Arabidopsis thaliana: one gene and its partner. The protein of the gene in region 1 interacts with the protein of each later gene in a biochemical or structural test. Each region holds a gene or a part of one and is shown in the gene's direction. Other genes may lie near its edges.

What was found. Proteins that work in one complex are often made in the same cells at the same time.
Region 2: the proteins of RAB6A (region 1) and GC5 form a complex in vitro, tested with the Arabidopsis thaliana proteins (one study listed by BioGRID).

Annotation. Positions count from the first base shown.
Region 1 is NC_003071.7:18,409,379-18,416,810, reverse strand, and holds RAB6A (Ras-related small GTP-binding family protein), read left to right. Parts: upstream 1-2,657; 5' UTR 2,658-2,927; coding exon 2,928-3,044; intron 3,045-3,589; coding exon 3,590-3,660; intron 3,661-3,757; coding exon 3,758-3,846; intron 3,847-4,019; coding exon 4,020-4,131; intron 4,132-4,515; coding exon 4,516-4,606; intron 4,607-4,886; coding exon 4,887-5,033; 3' UTR 5,034-5,387; downstream 5,388-7,432. Other genes in the region: AT2G44630 (Galactose oxidase/kelch repeat superfamily protein), read left to right, coding at 1-982; MTACP-1 (mitochondrial acyl carrier protein 1), read right to left, coding at 1,746-1,922, 2,300-2,491; AT2G44600 (uncharacterized protein), read right to left, coding at 7,025-7,432. UniProt on the Arabidopsis thaliana protein: Protein transport. Regulator of membrane traffic from the Golgi apparatus towards the endoplasmic reticulum (ER). Binds GTP and GDP and possesses intrinsic GTPase activity.
Region 2 is NC_003070.9:30,026,492-30,036,954, reverse strand, and holds GC5 (golgin Putative 5), read left to right. Parts: upstream 1-3,053; 5' UTR 3,054-3,241; intron 3,242-3,364; 5' UTR 3,365-3,446; coding exon 3,447-3,594; intron 3,595-4,053; coding exon 4,054-4,997; intron 4,998-5,076; coding exon 5,077-5,148; intron 5,149-5,276; coding exon 5,277-5,351; intron 5,352-5,436; coding exon 5,437-5,551; intron 5,552-5,696; coding exon 5,697-5,758; intron 5,759-5,836; coding exon 5,837-5,884; intron 5,885-6,092; coding exon 6,093-6,377; intron 6,378-6,472; coding exon 6,473-6,592; intron 6,593-6,667; coding exon 6,668-6,751; intron 6,752-6,853; coding exon 6,854-6,919; intron 6,920-7,006; coding exon 7,007-7,105; intron 7,106-7,187; coding exon 7,188-7,406; intron 7,407-7,635; coding exon 7,636-7,750; intron 7,751-7,826; coding exon 7,827-8,047; intron 8,048-8,335; coding exon 8,336-8,395; intron 8,396-8,481; coding exon 8,482-8,595; intron 8,596-8,683; coding exon 8,684-8,758; coding exon of another isoform or gene 8,759-8,809; and 6 more. Other genes in the region: SGB1 (Major facilitator superfamily protein), read left to right, coding at 10,184-10,289. UniProt on the Arabidopsis thaliana protein: Golgi matrix protein playing a role in tethering of vesicles to Golgi membranes and in maintaining the overall structure of the Golgi apparatus.

The DNA of each region.
Region 1 (7,432 bases):
CCTCTGTTGCGTCTCCAAGTCCTTGCGGAGTCTAATTCGCTCGCCGGAGATTCACAAGACGCGATCTTTACACGGAAAGGACTCTCTTTATCTATGCTTCTCGACCAGAACTACATACCCGAACCGGAACCGGACGACTTTTCACTGGTTCACTCTCCGGAGGAATGATAACAAGATGAATACGACTGAGAATGTCTTCGTCTCCATCGATGTTCCTTATCGTCCCGGGCATGCTTCTTACCCTCTTTCCAATATCGCAATTGATACAGAGATTTACTGCATTCCCGGATATAATTTTCCCTCATCATCAATCGTATGGATCTTTGACACCCAATCTGGACAGTGGCGTCAAGGACCTAGTATGCAAGTGGAGCGATTATCAGCTACCGTAGGACTAGTCGGTGGTAAGATCTATGTGATCGGAGGCAACAGAGGCGAAGAGATCCTAGCGGAAGTATTTGACTTAAAGACACAAACTTGGGAAGCAGCGCCGATTCCTAAGGCAAAGGATAGAAACGAATGGTTCACGCATGCAAGTGTTTCACTTGATAGGAAGGTTTATGCTTTAAATTCGAGGGAATACATGAATTCTTACGATACTAGAGATGGTTCTTATCAAAGATATACGATACCTGAAGATAATTGGTGGAAGACAGGAAAATGCGTGATTGACAATGTGCTCTTCGTTTACTTCCTTAGATTTGGGTTAATGTGGTATGACTCTGAGCTGATGTTGTGGAGAGTGGTTTATGGTTTAGATCTTGACAAAGCTCGATGCATTGGGATCGGGGAATACTACGGAAAGTTGGCGTTTATATGGGGAAAACCAAGTAATGTTAGTGAAAGCAAAGAGATTTGGTGTAGAATGATTGGCTTGCTTAGGAGTGAAGTAGGAATTCATGGAACTGAAGAACCGTCTCAACTTCTCAGAATCGTTCCTAACAACTATAGTTTGCGCCATTGTCTGTCTCTTTCGGGTTAAACTTAATCAAGAGATATATTGTTGACGTTAGATGTTTATTTAGTCTTTCTTTAGTCATTATGATCAATATCACTACAATGTGTTTACAAGATTCATTGCTGTTGCGGTTTCAGCATCTTGCTTTGTTCCTTCCACCCTATCCATTTTGCATAATTAGCTTAGCAAGTTTTTAATATTGTAAGTTCACCCATTTTGTCCCATTTACTAAAAAATCGATTCAAACGAAACCTGAAATGTATCTCCTAATTAAAACATCTAACTTGTGGATAGAGATATTGGTGTATTTTGGTACAAATGCTGTAGTTGAGATGAAGCAGAAAACTTGTCCAAATGAAAACTACTGTCTGTATTCGATCCAAAAGATGGCTGACAAACAATTCTAGTTAATAGCACGTTATGATGTAATGTAGTATATAAGATCCAATTTCTTGGTCTTGCATATGTATCCAAGAGAGACGATCAGTTTTTTAAAACAAGTATGTTTTTCAAAGATTCGTCTTCAATGTATGATCAAGACCATGCTAAGAATCAAGTGTATTATATACAAATCGTATTAAAGTATTAACTCAAGAAAAAGTGTCAACTTTCACAAGATTCAAGCAAAAAGGTTTTCTTTTTAAGAAACTGGAACCGTTAAAAGAGTCAATAACAATGCTCTCCAAATAAAAGTGATTTTTTTGCAAATCCCATTATGGCATTATCAAAGAGAGAAGAACCTCATACAAGAAAAAGGAAGGAGAAACCATGAGAGAGCACACAGCGATTAGCTAGACATTGGATGATTGTAAACGTATTCAATGGCGAGAGAGCAAGAATCGATCTTGTCAGCTTCTTTGTCTGGAATTTCCAGCTTGAATTCCTCTTCAATAGCCATCACTATCTCCACTGTGTCCAAACTATCTAATCCCAAATCGTTTTGGAAATGAACCTCAGGAGTCACCTGTCGATATTTATCACAAAGCCATCAACAAAAATAACCCTAACCAAACAACCCTTATTAGAGAGAGTTGATGAAGGATTCATAAATGCAAAATCCATAAGAATGACCATATCAAATCAAATCCATAGGAACAACAACACGATAAGCTACACTTACTAAACCACATTGAGATCAATAACCTTCAATTTACTAACAACACTAATGCAACATCGTTTCAGATACATTTGGTCTCTATTTCCACTAGATCAATACGAAATCAACCAAAAGCTCCTACATTGACAAATATTCAAGGCAAAATAATCATTTTGTTCCCAATAATGAGGAAAACAAAAGATAAGAATCACGATTTGGCCAAATTTTATGAAGATCGAGCTGACCTTAGAGGGATCGACTTTGGGGAAGCTCTTGACAACATCGAGTACTCTATCGACGACAGCTTCTCTGCTAAGATGATCATCGTGCGAAGAAAATGACCGGATCGTACCAAGGAACCCAATTTTAGACTGATTCAATCCTAGGGTTTGCACCGGAACCCTCAGGTGACGAAGAATTGCATTTCTCAGTGCCATTTTCGTCTCTTTCTTCGAGCTCGAGAATTAGGGATTTGATTTGATGAGAGAGACACAGAAGAGTCAAGTAGCCAAAAGGGGCAAAAATAGTTCAGGTCATACGAGATGACACGTGCCCCCTACTATAAGGCTAGCCCAAATCCTTACGTGGGCTTATAAATGCTGCCCATAATGTAGTAAATTCCTTAATCAGCTTCTAAGTTTTTATATATTTTGTAACTTATCTCAAATAGTTTCTAATTTAACATAAATGACCCAATTGGGTCACTCGAGGAATAAACTGCAATTTACGAATAACAAACTCTCACTAATACAGTATTTGCAATTCCAGAGCGACGGGATCTCTCTCCGGTAAATATCGGAAACTTTTATTCTCAGCAAAGCGAGATCTCGACGTTTCTCAGATCCGTCCGGCGAGTTAGATCCTTGAGAAATCATGGCTCCGGTCTCGGCACTCGCTAAGTATAAGCTGGTGTTTCTGGGAGATCAATCCGTCGGCAAAACCAGTATCATTACTCGATTCATGTACGACAAATTCGACAACACTTACCAGGTAAATTTCCATTGTTCAAATCTAGGTATTATCTCGACGATGCACGACGTTTGCTTCTATTTTGAGGGATTATAGTCGGGAAAATCCCAGGGTTTGATTGATTTTGAGATCCGTTTTCATGGACGGGAATCGTGTTTTTCAGTTCGAAGTTCTTACTCGTTTACGTGATCGGGCGTTTGGTTTTGCGTAATTATGTGTGATCTGATTTGTAGATCGTGTTTTAGTCAATGTATAGGACGTAACAATCAGCTGAATGAGATTTTGGCATCGTAATCGCTCACTCTCGTTTATTGTACAAAGTCGAGAATTCAGTCCAATAGAAGATCGCAGTAACACTAATATGAGGATGTTTCTTTGATCATGTTATCATTGTTTATCTAATCGAATTAGTTCTCAATTGATGAATGAAAGCATCTGATCTTGTTCTGTGATTATGAGAATTACGTTTAAGCTCCTAATAATATGTGAACCATGCTTGCTTATCGTCATTTTACAGAATGTTCTTCCTTTTCTAAGTAGTTTTTATGTTGTTTCATAATCATCAGGCCACAATTGGTATTGATTTTCTATCAAAGACAATGTACCTTGAAGATCGAACGGTCAGACTTCAGTTGTGGTAAGATCTTGAGCCTCTTTCAATTTTCGAATACTGAAGAATAACATTGCAGATCATTTTTTGATGATTAACATCGAGAGCCGAAATCATATGACAGGGATACAGCTGGGCAAGAGCGATTCAGGAGTCTAATTCCGAGCTATATCAGGGATTCCTCCGTTGCTGTTATTGTGTATGATGTTGCAAGTATGTGTACCTTCACTCGTTCTCTCAAACACATGAATATTTTCCCATATCTGAGATCTTGGGGATGTGGTTTTCAGTAATCTTATGAATTTATGCGTTTCGATTTCTTCTTTATGTTGATCCATTGTGCGTTGTGAAACTCGAGATTTATTTTGTTTTCCACTGACATATAGGCAGGCAGTCCTTCCTAAACACTACTAAGTGGATCGATGAGGTTAGGACAGAACGTGGTAGTGATGTCATAGTCGTGCTTGTGGGAAACAAAACTGATCTAGTGGACAAAAGGTAATAATGATCTACCATCTCTTCCTCTACTTGTTTCTTGTTAAACCATGATGTGCAAATTACTGTTCAATAGCAATTGAGACTGAAATTTGGTAGTCCTCCTTGTTTAAACACGCTCTGATTTCGTAAGTATGTTGACAAGACGAATGGGTGTCTTTTTTGTTTTACTCAAGTACAAACTGTTGTTAAACCACGTCTTACTTTTCTGGTGGTATTGAGTATGTTGCCAAACGACCCTACAAGATAATAAATGGAAAATCATTTGCTGCTCAACTGCATATCTTTACAGGGTTTCTTTATAGTCAACACGCTTTGACACTTGATGGTGCCTACTACATTTGTTACTGCCAATTGGGCCTTTGTATTAAATATTTTGTTTCTCAGGCAAGTGTCAATAGAGGAAGCAGAAGCTAAGGCACGCGAACTTAATGTAATGTTCATCGAAACCAGTGCCAAAGCGGGCTTCAACATTAAGGTAACAAAGATCTTGGCTTGACACATTTCTGAGGGTTTCTTGCACAACAAAAACTTGCTGCTTAGTTCAACTAAGCCCTAACTTTGTTTAGTTCCATCAATATTCAATAGTTAATTAACCTAGACTTATAAATTTTTAACCCAACCTGCTGATTATTACATCCTCCTCATTTGTATGGATCTTTCACTGATACTCTCTAAACAATTACCGCAAATCCATAACGCTATCACTCCGTGCAAATCTTGTTTTCTTATGATTTCAAACCTTTTTGTATTGCTAGGCGCTCTTCCGCAAGATAGCAGCAGCTTTGCCGGGAATGGAGACATTGTCTTCAACAAAGCAAGAGGATATGGTTGATGTCAATCTCAAGTCTTCCAATGCAAATGCATCTCTCGCTCAGCAGCAATCAGGAGGATGCTCTTGTTAGATTTGGCAACAACAACACAACAACAAATCGATAGAGAACAACAAAACACACTACTAAAAAATGTCCTCAAGCCCCTTTGCATGATTCGATCAGTTATCGTCTTCCATCTGTAAAATTTTTGCCTGTTTTTCAACTTTTTTTCTTCATCGGATTGTTTTTAAAGAAGACTCTGTTTTAGCTATGGTTTGTCCCTAACTGTGATCTTTTGTGGTCTTTGGAGTTTCAAATGCTCGCTGCTTCAGTACTTTTGTTTACTTATTTCTCAAAACTGTGATTTGTCGGTCTATGAATTTAATTATGTATAACTGTGAGCTGCTAGGTAATAAAAACTCTCATTTCGTTTCGTCTTTCCATGTGATAGTCTGATAGAGAAAGAAGCACAGCATTTTTAATCTTTGACCCATAAAGAAACAGATAATTAATTTCGTACACATGTCGTTAGTTCAGATCACTTAAATGAGCTAATTAAATTCAAAGTCTCACACTGTTCCCAGGTATTTTTCTCCAGTTCCACCATGTCCCTAAAATTAAGCTTCTCTCATCGTAAAAAGCTCTGGTGGGTTAATGCAGTTGGAGTATACTCAGCAATTCTATCCCAAATAATGTGTATACTCACTTAATCAGCAATAATCACTCGTAACGATTTTATGGAACTAAGTTAGTGGAATGAGTTTTTTTGTAATTACTTATTATGAATTTATGACATATCCTTTTGAAAAAGAAAAAAAAAAACAGAAACTTGTACGATTGTTTTTCTTTCATTGCAGCTGAAAAGTATTGTCATATTTTTGAATAGTCCAACCAAGCTATTTGAAAATTTTAATGACACTATATTTCATAATTATATTGTCATCAATCAAATCCTCATACATAGTACCAACTAATAGCTAAAAATTACATAACACTTGTGCTTTATTTGAATTTTCCCACTAACTCATCAAACGCATAATTCGCAATAATGACCATAATTAAAGATAGACCCCTTCAAAAAAAAAAAAAAAAGAATGAGTAAGTTGAAATCAATGAAGATGTAGGTGAGAGGAGATGGTAGAGCCACGAAAGAAACACTATTTCAATTCTCCCCTCTCCAACAAAAGCCCCCATTCATTAAATGCCAACTTCCCTTTTATGACCGTTAATGCTCTCTGTAAGATGACAAATTACAAATAAGTCCTCAGAGTCATACTAGTCTAATTTTCGTTATATTTATAATACTCTTTCACGACTATGGACCCATGGAATTTAAATCTTAAATTGGTCCTACTTCCGTATATTTGTATTAAACTCTTAGTCTTTACTCTTTTTAAACCTTTGAAACTCTCTTAGACGGTACTTGGATCTTCATAAAAGTCGTCTATCTTTCGTCGAAATTGAGACCTATGTTATTAGATCTATATGCCCACTTTTTCTCTAGCTTTCTTTATTAGGTTTTTCATGTGTCTGGTTAGTAAGTGAGACTAGTAAATTGGATTTGTGAATGGTTCTTTTTGACTTTGCCAATGTCTAAGACTTAAGTGTTGTCAGATTTTGTTTCTCTAGATTAAGAGAAACACAAGGGTATGTGTCACATTTATTATCACCAACAAAGCATTGATTTTTTTTTTTTTAGATTTGAAAACTTCAAAAATAATAGCAATGTATTACAATTCTGACATGAACTAGTCATAGGTTTACTTCTTCTACTATCTGTCATTTTTTGATGTGTACACCCAAAAATTCTCATAAGAAAAAAAGAGATACACATTAGACTATCCAAAGAAAAAGAAAACACACGACATTGTTCTCTTCTAATCTCCTAAATATAAAAACGAATATTTCTTCCTTTAATATACAATCACAAAACATTATAATATACTGTAATGAATAACCAAAAAAAAAGTAAATTCACTCTTTATCTGTTGGTATAGTAAAGCCACACCATATGAATCTTGTGAAGGGTATTTTAGGTAATTTCACAAAGAACGGTCAGATTTTGACCTCAACCAAAAAAATCAACGGCGGTGATCAACTCTACCTAAATCCACAAGCTTCTTAGACCGGTTACCGCAAAAAGACGCCGCCGTTGATAGGTGAGGCTTCGCCGGAGATTTCAATTCACCGGAATATCCAAAATCCGGCGGAAATTTCGCTTTCCAGTTAGAAGAACAGTTAGGTTTAGCTCTCACTAATGGACTTAAGCAAAAAGCCATCCCTGATACACTTCTACCAATCCCAATCGTCGCCGTCTTTTTCCTTCCCGGAGTTCCCATCACCGGCGTTCTTCTTAATCTCCCTGGAGATTCCTCAACTGATTCATCGTTCGTCGTTGAATCTCCCGCCGGCGACATTCCTCTACAATATCTCTGTCTAGGTCGATTTTGATTATGATGATGATGATCGGATTCGGAAGCGATCAAATC
Region 2 (10,463 bases), on another chromosome or scaffold:
GATTGAGAAGAACTTGAACATATATACAATGAAGCCATATTGAAACATGAGCAAATTATCCGTTAAAAGTAGTACATAATGGCGTTGCTATAGATTACTGTAGACAGGGGGGGAAGGAATGAGAATAAGAAGGAAGGGTTACAATTGCATGATTGATTTAAGGGTATAAAAACAAAAAAGACGAACTTCTCTGTCTCTTCTTTAATTGAATTGTGTGTATAGACTAGAGAGAGAGAGAGAGAGAGACATATGTGTATGTCAGATTTCTTAATTGTTTTCTCTAGAGAGAGAGAGAGTTGACCGTTAGATACTGAGATGGACTCAACTAACTTTTAGCACCTAATTCTCCAACCGCATTTTCTGCTTTCTTCTTCCCTCCTTAATTATCCTCTCATTACTCTTATTATGACTTGTGTATTTATTTATTACTATATACTACTACTTATGATTTATTATTGTGATGATCTCTTCTTTCAAACAATTGGTAACTTATACAAAACGCTATCATCACATCTTAATTTAAGATATGGCTTAATAAGAAACCCTATCTATTAATCATATATACTTTATTATGTAAACTTGGCTCTATTAGTATAATTGCGTCAGGATTATAGGAAACTGGGACTCTGGGAGAAGCATATATATATATTTGATAAGAATTAGCATATACAATATATGGGTAAGAGAGAGTTACTAACAGTATATTGCAGCGCTACATGGAACCCTAAATTGCTTGAGACTTGTCCTCTTCCAATATTTTTATAAAAACTAATGGGATATCTATATTCCTGGATTAATCCCAATCGAATCTAATACACTGACTAGTATAGTAGGGGTATGTACGTAGCAGTATTAGGAAAACAATTAGACTAACGGTAAAGGCAGGAAAGAAGAGTTGTTGAATATAAGTTAGAAAGTTAAAAAAGAATTCGGATAGAGAAAGTTTAGAAGACGTACGTAAGCAGAGAAAATTAATTCAACAAATGTAATTCAGCAGCGGAAAGAGACGTCGAAATTTATTTTATTTTTATTTGTTGTTGTAAAAAAAGAAAAAGGTCAGCGAGAGGCATTGACCGATCGTTACTCATTAATTTCAGCGACCTTAAAAGGAAATGAATGCTCTTTATGGGTTTGCCTCCAACCCCTTTCCAATTCCTCCACCCTCTCTTTATTACTTACTTTCCTATTCACTATACGCATCTCCCTCTCTCTCTATATCCACCATATATACATTTTATAATGCCACCTGGACACATGTGTATGTGTATGTTGTTTTAATATTTGACAAAATTTGAAATTTTGATCATCTTATTGTATCACGGGCACGTCAAGATTTCAAACATTGATTCATATTATCGTATGCATACACCATGACATATTATTGCAAGATATATCTCAACAGTTACATTGTTAACAATATAGATATAGTAGCTTAAACCGTCCGTATAATACGTACGTAAATGGACGAAGACGTATAGTGAAGGAAACTTAGGTCTTTAATAAGATATATAATGGTATAACTGTAGCAGATGATTTATCTACAATTCAAAAGCTTTATCAGTTTCTTTTGTTTTTTTCTTTGTTAGTCGTCGTACGGCCTAGGGAATTGTTAGTTAGGAAAGGTAGATACATAATGTATAGAGAGGGAAGCAACCATAAACATTTACATTCACCACATGCTCTTAAATAATTAATTAATGCCTCCTAACCTCTCCTTTTGCTCTATCTATCTACTTTAATTAATTACTTGAATATATGCTGCCTATAGAGATTCCTTTTTCTTTCTTCCATTCATTCCTTTTGGCTACTGACTCTCTCTCTCTTTTTTGCTCTCGATTAATACTTCTACTTAATTAGGGTTTTGGGTAAAAAAATTCGCCCTTTTCACCATTAATCTATTACCCGTGTTGGCAAACTTCCAAGACCAGTCTTCTTTCTTTTTTGGCTTTTCTTATTGAGGGCCAATGAAAGCAACTAATTAATTTTTAAAGTAGGGTCTATCAAAATTAATTAAGACAACCCTTAAGTTGATTCCAAGATGCAGAAACTGACCATATATCTTTTCTTTTATCTCAACAAGTGACGACGATCCCTTTTAATTCACGTCCTTACAAATAACTATCTAGAAAGAGAACTGACCCACCAAAAATGGAATATGGTGATGATCTCACGCTAAAAGCAAACGTGTTTATACAAATGTGACATCGAGTGTGCACACGTACGTGTGAAGAGGGAATGATGGCATAGGAGATTGCGCCAGATAAAGACAGTGAGGACAACTAACTCCATATACTAACTTATATATAATTAATACAATGCATTTTGATATTCACTTTTTGTACAAAGGAAATGATACCATACGAGTCGTACGTTGCTAATATTCTTGGTACCTCCAAGTCCAACCGCAAAACAAAAGATGGATAGTTAGTTGGAGAGGATCAGCTGATGAAAACCAAAAGACACAGTTGTGAGAGAGCTACTAGCTAGTGAGTACCACATATATACGTATATTGGGATATATATATACCTTGAATCTTACACATTTTGCTTACATCTAAAATAGAAAATGAACCAGTAATTAGTTTTTGTTTGGATCCATAAATATCACATATATTACTTAATTATTTCATATAATTTATCACTCAAATTACATTTCTGTATACCAGTTGTAGTATTTTAATGAATAACTCTACTAGTAAATTGTAACATTCAAACAGAAATAAAAATGAAAAATGTAAATGTAAAGATATAATCGTGATCTGAAATAGGATGGTTTACAATACGTAAGAGAATACGAATGTACATCATGAGTATCAAAACAAATCAAGATTCATACCAAAAGGAAGAGAAAAAACATATCAACATATGCATAGGTTAGCGTCTTAGCGAGCGTGCGGAACCGAGGGTGCCTTGGTTTGCTGGCCCCAAAATGGGTGGGCTTTTAGGGGCCCAATATTGTTACTTACAGAGGCTAAAATGGATCCTACTGTTTTCCCTTTACAAAAACGGAGACAGGCCTTGTATATAAAAAATTCAGACCAAAGCCGCTTAGAATGAAGTAAATGATATCAAGACAGAACGTTTTTCTAATCCGCGAAACGACGCCGTTTGTACCGCCGGTGGCCGAGGGAAAAAAAAGGATTTGGATTTTGTTGGATCTAAAAAAACATAAAACACATAGGGGTGGGTCTCTCTCCTCCGGAATTCGATCACGACGGCAAGGACGACGCATCTCCTTCTCGTAAGCCATTGATGATCCCAATAGATAGCTCTATTCTGCTTTATCCAATCGCCTCGTCTTAATAATTGATTCAGTGATGTAATTGGGATCTAAACTCGATTGGTTGATTGTTTTCCTTGGAAGCCACAGGGCTGGAGATGGATCTGGTCCGGTGATTTCTGAGATTTAAGTCGATCGAGTTTCCAGATATATCTCTCAAGTAGAGATGGCTTGGTTCAGTGGCAAAGTTTCTCTGGGAGGATTCCCAGATCTCACTGGCGCTGTCAATAAATTCCAGGAGAGCGTTAAAAACATTGAAAAGAATTTCGACAACGCCCTTGGCTTCGACGACAAGTCCGATTCTGCCGCTGAAGGTGTTCTCTTCTTCTCACTTTTTTTCCAATCAATACACATAATATTATCATCCTTCCCAATAATCTGCTGTTAGTCAGCTGGGAATATAGGATTTGATTACTCAAGGCGCATTTGTTGATAGGACCTGCCATTTTTCTTCTTCTTCTTTATGTAGGATGTTTAGATCAATAATCTGCTGTTGCAATAATACAATCTTGCAAGTTATGGGATTCTGTCTTATTTTTCTTAGAACTAGCTTAGCTAGTGTGCTTCAGATTCTACCCATTGCATTTTATTCTGAATTTGAAAAAAACACTTTGTTTTGGATCTTTGCGTTTACTTGGTGACAGCTTTTTCTGGCTATGATTTCAGGGGTATTCTGTGTTTACCTAACTGTAGCACAAATCATTTTCTTCTCTAGTTTGTCTTGAGTTTCTTGTACCTTTCACAACAAAAATCCTTTTGTTCTTTCTTTTTAGATGCAGCTTCAAGTATGTGGCCACCTGCAGTTGATACCAAAAGCCTCTTTGATCCCGTTATGTCCTTCATGGGTAACACCTCTGATGAGAAACCTGATACATTGGAAGACTCTGTGCGTACAGAAAATCCGTCTCAAATTGAACAAAAAGAAGAAGAAGCTGGATCGGTTAAGCTAGCTACTGAACAAGCAGTATCTGTTGAAGCAAATAAAGAAACAAACGTGAGAAGAGAAGCTGATCAAGCAGATAATCCTGAGGTAACAGAAACTGTTGTTTTGGATCCCAAAGATGATGAACCGCAATCGCAGATACTTCTCGAAGAGTCCTCTGAATATTCTCTTCAGACTCCTGAATCCTCAGGTTACAAGACTAGTCTTCAACCTAATGAAAAGCTGGAAATGACAGCTTCTCAAGATTCACAGCCCGAGCAACCCAAGTCAGAGGCTGAGGAATCACAGCCTGAGGATTCTGAAGCAAAAGAGGTTACTGTAGAAAACAAAGACACTGTTCACTCCCCTGTGTTAGATGGACAGCATAAGATTACTTATATGGATGAGACAACAAATGAACAAGAAATTCTGGGTGAAAATCTGGAAGGGAGAACCTCGTCTAAAAATTTTGAAGTTTCACCAGATATCAATCATGTAAATAGGATAGAGTCCCCTGTTGCTCATCCGTCTTTAATTTTTGAGTCTGATGGTTCTCCTTACGAGTCTTCTATACCAAAGAGATCGTCGTCAGATGAAATTTCGGAGAGAATTGTGGATTTTGTTTCTCGTGAAATAGATTCAAGACTGGATACTAGTGAGTTAAATGAAAGCCAGCGTTCAAGCTCTGCGACAAATGTTTCCGACTCTGCTGATGTTATTCTGGAATTAGAGAAGACCAAAAAGGAAATAAAAATGTTGGAAAATGCCCTGCAAGGTGCTGCAAGGCAAGCTCAGGTACATCTTTAGATCCTCATGAAAGGTTTTGCTACGGATATGGTGCTTCTATACCAATTTTCTGGGGATTTGTTTACAGGCAAAGGCTGATGAGATTGCGAAGTTGATGCATGAAAATGAGCAGCTAAAATCTGTCACTGAGGATTTGAAGGTACAATAGAGTATGCGGAATATGGGATATTAGATGAAGGATTACTTTTTTCCCCAGTCTTCCGCCCATCTTCCTTTCATTTGGAATGATTTTGAATCTACATTCTAATAACCTCTGCTCTGGAACAGAGGAAATCTAACGAAGCTGAAGTCGAGTCTTTGCGAGAAGAATACCATCAGAGAGTTGCAACTCTTGAGAGGAAGGTATTATATCTTTTATCATTCTTCTCTTTCAATTCTCTTCTTTTCATTATATATATATATGCCTTCACAGTGCTTATCTTTGTAGGTTTATGCTCTCACCAAAGAGCGGGATACACTTAGAAGAGAACAGAACAAGAAAAGTGATGCTGCGGCCCTTTTGAAAGAAAAGGATGAAATAATAAATCAAGTTATGGCTGAAGGTAAGACAGCCTTTTGGAATGCTTGAATTATGGATCGTATTTTTCTCGTTATAAAAAAATGGTGTTGAAAGCGAACACCTGAAAAATGAAAGGACGTCATTTCTTGCTCAGCTTGAGCTCTTGATATTAATGCTAATCATTTCAGGCGAAGAGCTTTCAAAGAAACAGGCTGCTCAAGAAGCTCAGATCAGGAAGCTAAGGGCTCAGGTATATATTCAACGCTATGTGTTTCATTTTTATCAATACCAACAGTCTCATGGCAATTCTTATTTGTACGAGGGTTAGATTAGAGAGGCAGAAGAAGAAAAGAAAGGACTGATCACAAAGCTTCAGGTAATTGATTTTTTTTTTTTTGTTTCATTAACCACGTCATTAAGGATGAAACTGCCTGAAGGGGTTTTCTTGATTTCCCAGAAGCTTTTGTGAAAGGCTGGTTTGAAAATCAGTCTTCTTGTAGGCAGGATTAATATCTAAATAACTAAAGCATTTGCAAAGTTTGTTAAGCTTCTTAGCTTCATTAATTTTTCCTTTCAATTGCCAGTCGGAAGAAAATAAGGTCGAAAGCATTAAAAGGGACAAGACAGCTACAGAAAAGCTGCTGCAAGAGACCATAGAAAAACATCAAGCTGAACTTACTTCTCAGAAAGACTATTACTCAAACGCATTAGCTGCAGCAAAGGAAGCTCAAGCGTTAGCTGAGGAGCGTACCAACAATGAAGCGAGGTCAGAGTTAGAGAATCGTCTAAAGGAGGCTGGAGAGCGGGAATCTATGCTAGTCCAGGCGCTGGAAGAATTGAGGCAAACCTTAAGCAAAAAGGAGCAACAGGTTTTGTCTTCCTCGATCAAATTTGGGATAGAGTACTACTGGGATCTCATCATTTTATTTATACTCACCTAGTCGGTGGGCTCTAATTTTTACAGGCAGTGTATAGGGAAGACATGTTCCGTGGAGAAATTGAGGACCTTCAAAGACGCTATCAGGTCAAATCAAGATGTTTCGTTGTCTCTATGCATATTTCTTTCTTTGGTTATCGCCTTTTGGTTACGTTTGAACCATAATTCTAGTTACTAATAGTTTGTTCTGTTTACTGTTTGCTAAACCAACCACTCTTATAGGCTAGTGAGCGAAGGTGTGAGGAATTAATCACACAGGTTCCTGAGTCTACAAGGCCTCTCCTAAGACAGATTGAGGCTATGCAGGTAAAAAATTGACCCATATGTTTTTTCTGAAAGAACTTCTCCTGAGATTAGAATCTTAAATTAAATTGTAACATTGCATGCCTCTTATCTGATTGGCGATAGGAAACTTCATATAGAACAGCAGAAGCTTGGGCTGCTGTAGAAAGAACTCTGAATTCTCGATTGCAGGTGTTATGAACAACACTGCTCTATGCTATATTCAGCCAATTATTTTTGTTTTCTCTATCTTTTTGTTCACTTTCTAGAAATATTCAGGAAGCAGAAAGTAAAGCTGCAACAGCTGAAGAACGAGAGCGCTCTGTGAATGAACGCCTCTCTCAAACATTATCAAGGATCAATGTTCTAGAGGCCCAGGTTTTCTATGCTTTTTGACACTGTTCTTCATCAATTTTCGCAGCTTTCTCTAAATTTTAGCTTACCCAGTTCTCCTATCCAGCTTTCATGTCTCAGAGCAGAACAGGGCCAGTTAAGCAAGTCACTTGAGAAAGAGAGGCAGAGAGCAGCAGAAAATAGACAGGAGTATCTGGCAGCTAAGGAGGAAGCAGATACCCTAGAAGGTCGAGCAAACCAACTTGAAGTTGAGATAAGGGAACTTCGGAGAAAACATAAGCAAGAGTTGCAGGAAGTGCTACTCCACAACGAGCTTATTCAAAAGGTTCTACATTGCTTTATGGACATAACTTAATCTAATAAGAGTTAGTCCCATGAAAAATGCCCCATCAGTTACGGAATTTAAAGGACTGAAGTACCTAGCGAATTCAATCAAAGTAGTGCTTTCCCAAACTTTTTCATCCTGAGTAGCTTCTATTAACAACCGAACTGTTCCAGTTTATTACTCTTCTTTATTGTCCAAGTAGTTTCTCAATATGGCCTATTTTTTTCAGGACCTAGAGAGGGAGAAGGCTTCACGTTTGGATCTTGAAAGAACGGCCCGTATCAATTCCTCGGCAGTCTCTGAACAGCTTCCTATAGCAAGGCAAAATTCTGCCTTTGAGAATGGTGATGCATCTAGATCTATACTACTGCTTAATAAGTCAGGCATTGCACATCTGTAATTCATTAACTATTGCATCAGGAAGCTTGCCTAGAAAGCTATCAAGCGCAAGCAGCCTTGGAAGCATGGAGGAGAGCTATTTTCTGCAAGCTTCTCTTGATTCTTCAGATAAATTTTCTGAGAAGCGAAGCATGCCTGAGGCAACTATGAGTCCGTACTACATGAAGAGCATCACACCGAGTGCTTATGAAGCCACACTTCGACAGAAAGAGGGTGAACTTGCTTCATACATGACCCGCTTGGTAGGTGTAGAAAATATCCAACTGGGACATTTTTGTGTAACTCTGTTGGTAGGCTTTTGGCAATTGGCTTAGTAATGGGATTGAGGTTGACATCAGTCCTTACAATGGGACACTATGGGTGTTTGGATCATGTTGAGAAATTATTGGTTAGTTGCACACCGTGGTTAGCCTTCTTTTATAAGCTGGTTTAGAAGGTTTAGCTCTACTCGTCGAGGTAGTATAGGCTGGTTGTTAGTATCATCGTTATCTGTAGAATCTAACTGTAAGAGTCTATTTGCCTTTGGACAGGCATCAATGGAGTCTATCCGAGATTCCCTGGCTGAAGAACTAGTCAAAATGACAGCAGAGGTATGTATAGCGCTGAGAGTTTAGAGTTGATATTATGCTCAGTGTTATGATGATATTTCGTCTATATCTGGTAACTGTGGATGTAGTGTGAGAAGCTACGGGGGGAGGCAGATAGGGTCCCGGGCATAAAGGCAGAGCTGGAAGCACTAAGGCAAAGACACGCGGCTGCTCTGGAATTGATGGGTGAACGAGATGAGGAGGTAAGATATGTGAATAAAATAGTAGTGTATCCAGCATTAACAACAGTAGTTGGCATTGAGTTAATAAAAAAGTGGGTTTGGGTGGTAGTTGGAGGAACTTCGAGCGGATATAGTGGACTTGAAGGAGATGTACAGGGAGCAAGTGAACATGCTGGTGAACAAGGTAAGGCAAACAGACACAAGTGGAGTCAAAGTGTTGACAAACTCAGGCTAATGGGTTTGTGCAATTTTGGGTTTGCAGATCCAATGAGGGGCAAGGGAAGATGGTGTTGGCAAGCTCAGGCTCACGAGTAGGACCACCTAATCCTTGTTTCCCCAATATTGTATAGCTCTATAAGCTACCAACCTAAGCCCACTATATTCATTTGTCGTTTTGTCTCTCAGGTGTTGGTTGAACTTGAGGCTTTTTAAAACAAACTTTTGCTGCTCGAAAGAAGATTTTTCTTACAGTGAATTCGATCGTAAATTATTATTTTGGAGACGAGAATAAACTTTTGTCTGTGTGACTTATCTACGTATGTAACATGTATTGTCTGTGTAGTAGAAAAACGGTGGAGAGACCCATTAATAATGGGATTCGTTGATGTAGCAATCCATCCATATAGGAAAACTGTGTGACTCGAATGGACCCGAATGAGATATCAAAATCACAGAAATGATAGATAAAGAAAATAAAGAACAAAAAGGCCTCCGGCCCTCTTGTAAATGTTAATAAAAGCCCAAAGGCCCAAAATAGCTCTGCAATGGCTTCTCCTGTAATGAATAGTTGTAGGCTGGTTTCAGCATCAATCAATAGTCATAAAGCAGGGGAGGGATCCTTTCATCAAAAGTCTTGTACTCTTGTACATACAGCATTACTGAATTCATATATAAATGTCATTATTTCATTGGTACTAGAGTATAGTTTGCTGAGTTCCATGAAAAGAACGGTAGAGGCGAGAGCAGGTGATTAAAACCCATCCCCTGTGAACGGAGTGAGTGTAGGTGTAGCCATAAAGTTGTCGTCGCTCCTCTGTAAAAGTTTCTTCTATTCGACGATTCCTCTCGACGTTATCATATTTCCTCTCCAGGTTGGTACTATCATCATCCTTGTTCTCTTTGTTTGCATCCCTCCTTCCTTCCTTGCTTCCTTGTAGATCTGCCATTGCCTTTTTTAATCCAAATCTTATATTTCTGATTTACATTGCTTCCGTCAGATCCGACGATCTCACTTTCTCATCATCTGTCGTCAGCTTTTTTGTTTCTTCTTTTATCTCTTTTTATTTTTAAAATAAATATATTGTTGATTCTGGAATTTTCCTAGTAGCTCACGTCACGTTACGTCATGTGTGTGCTTTGAATTTTAAATTGACTCGCAAGGCTGGTTTTGATTATGTGTAAGTGATCGCTGGACTTCACACACACTAACAAGTAGCACTTGAATGAAGCTTTCCTTTAATGGATTGATTATTTAATAAATTGCGACTTTGACGTCTTTGAGCATCCATCCATGTTGAAGAATCCCATTATTCGTATGCTTTTCTTCTATGGCCTTGCATCAGTCAGCACTCAACTTGTTTGAATGTGCAGGAGCGTGTTTCCAGAGGGGATGGATTCTGTTCGACGCACTTACACCATTATGCGAGGTCGTCACATAGACAAGCGTGTTCCTTCTAAAGAGTTTCTCTCTGCTTTGGATAAAGCTGAAACTGCAGGTTTTTTGTACCCACCCTCATAATAGTCATGATTTTACTCTATTGCCTACTTTTTGGTGCACACGGACAGTGTTATATATTTTAAAGACCACTTCTGATCTTTTTATTGTATTTGCTCATCAACTCTATATTGCTTGTTTGTGTTTTAGACATAGCATTGTACCTAGATATACC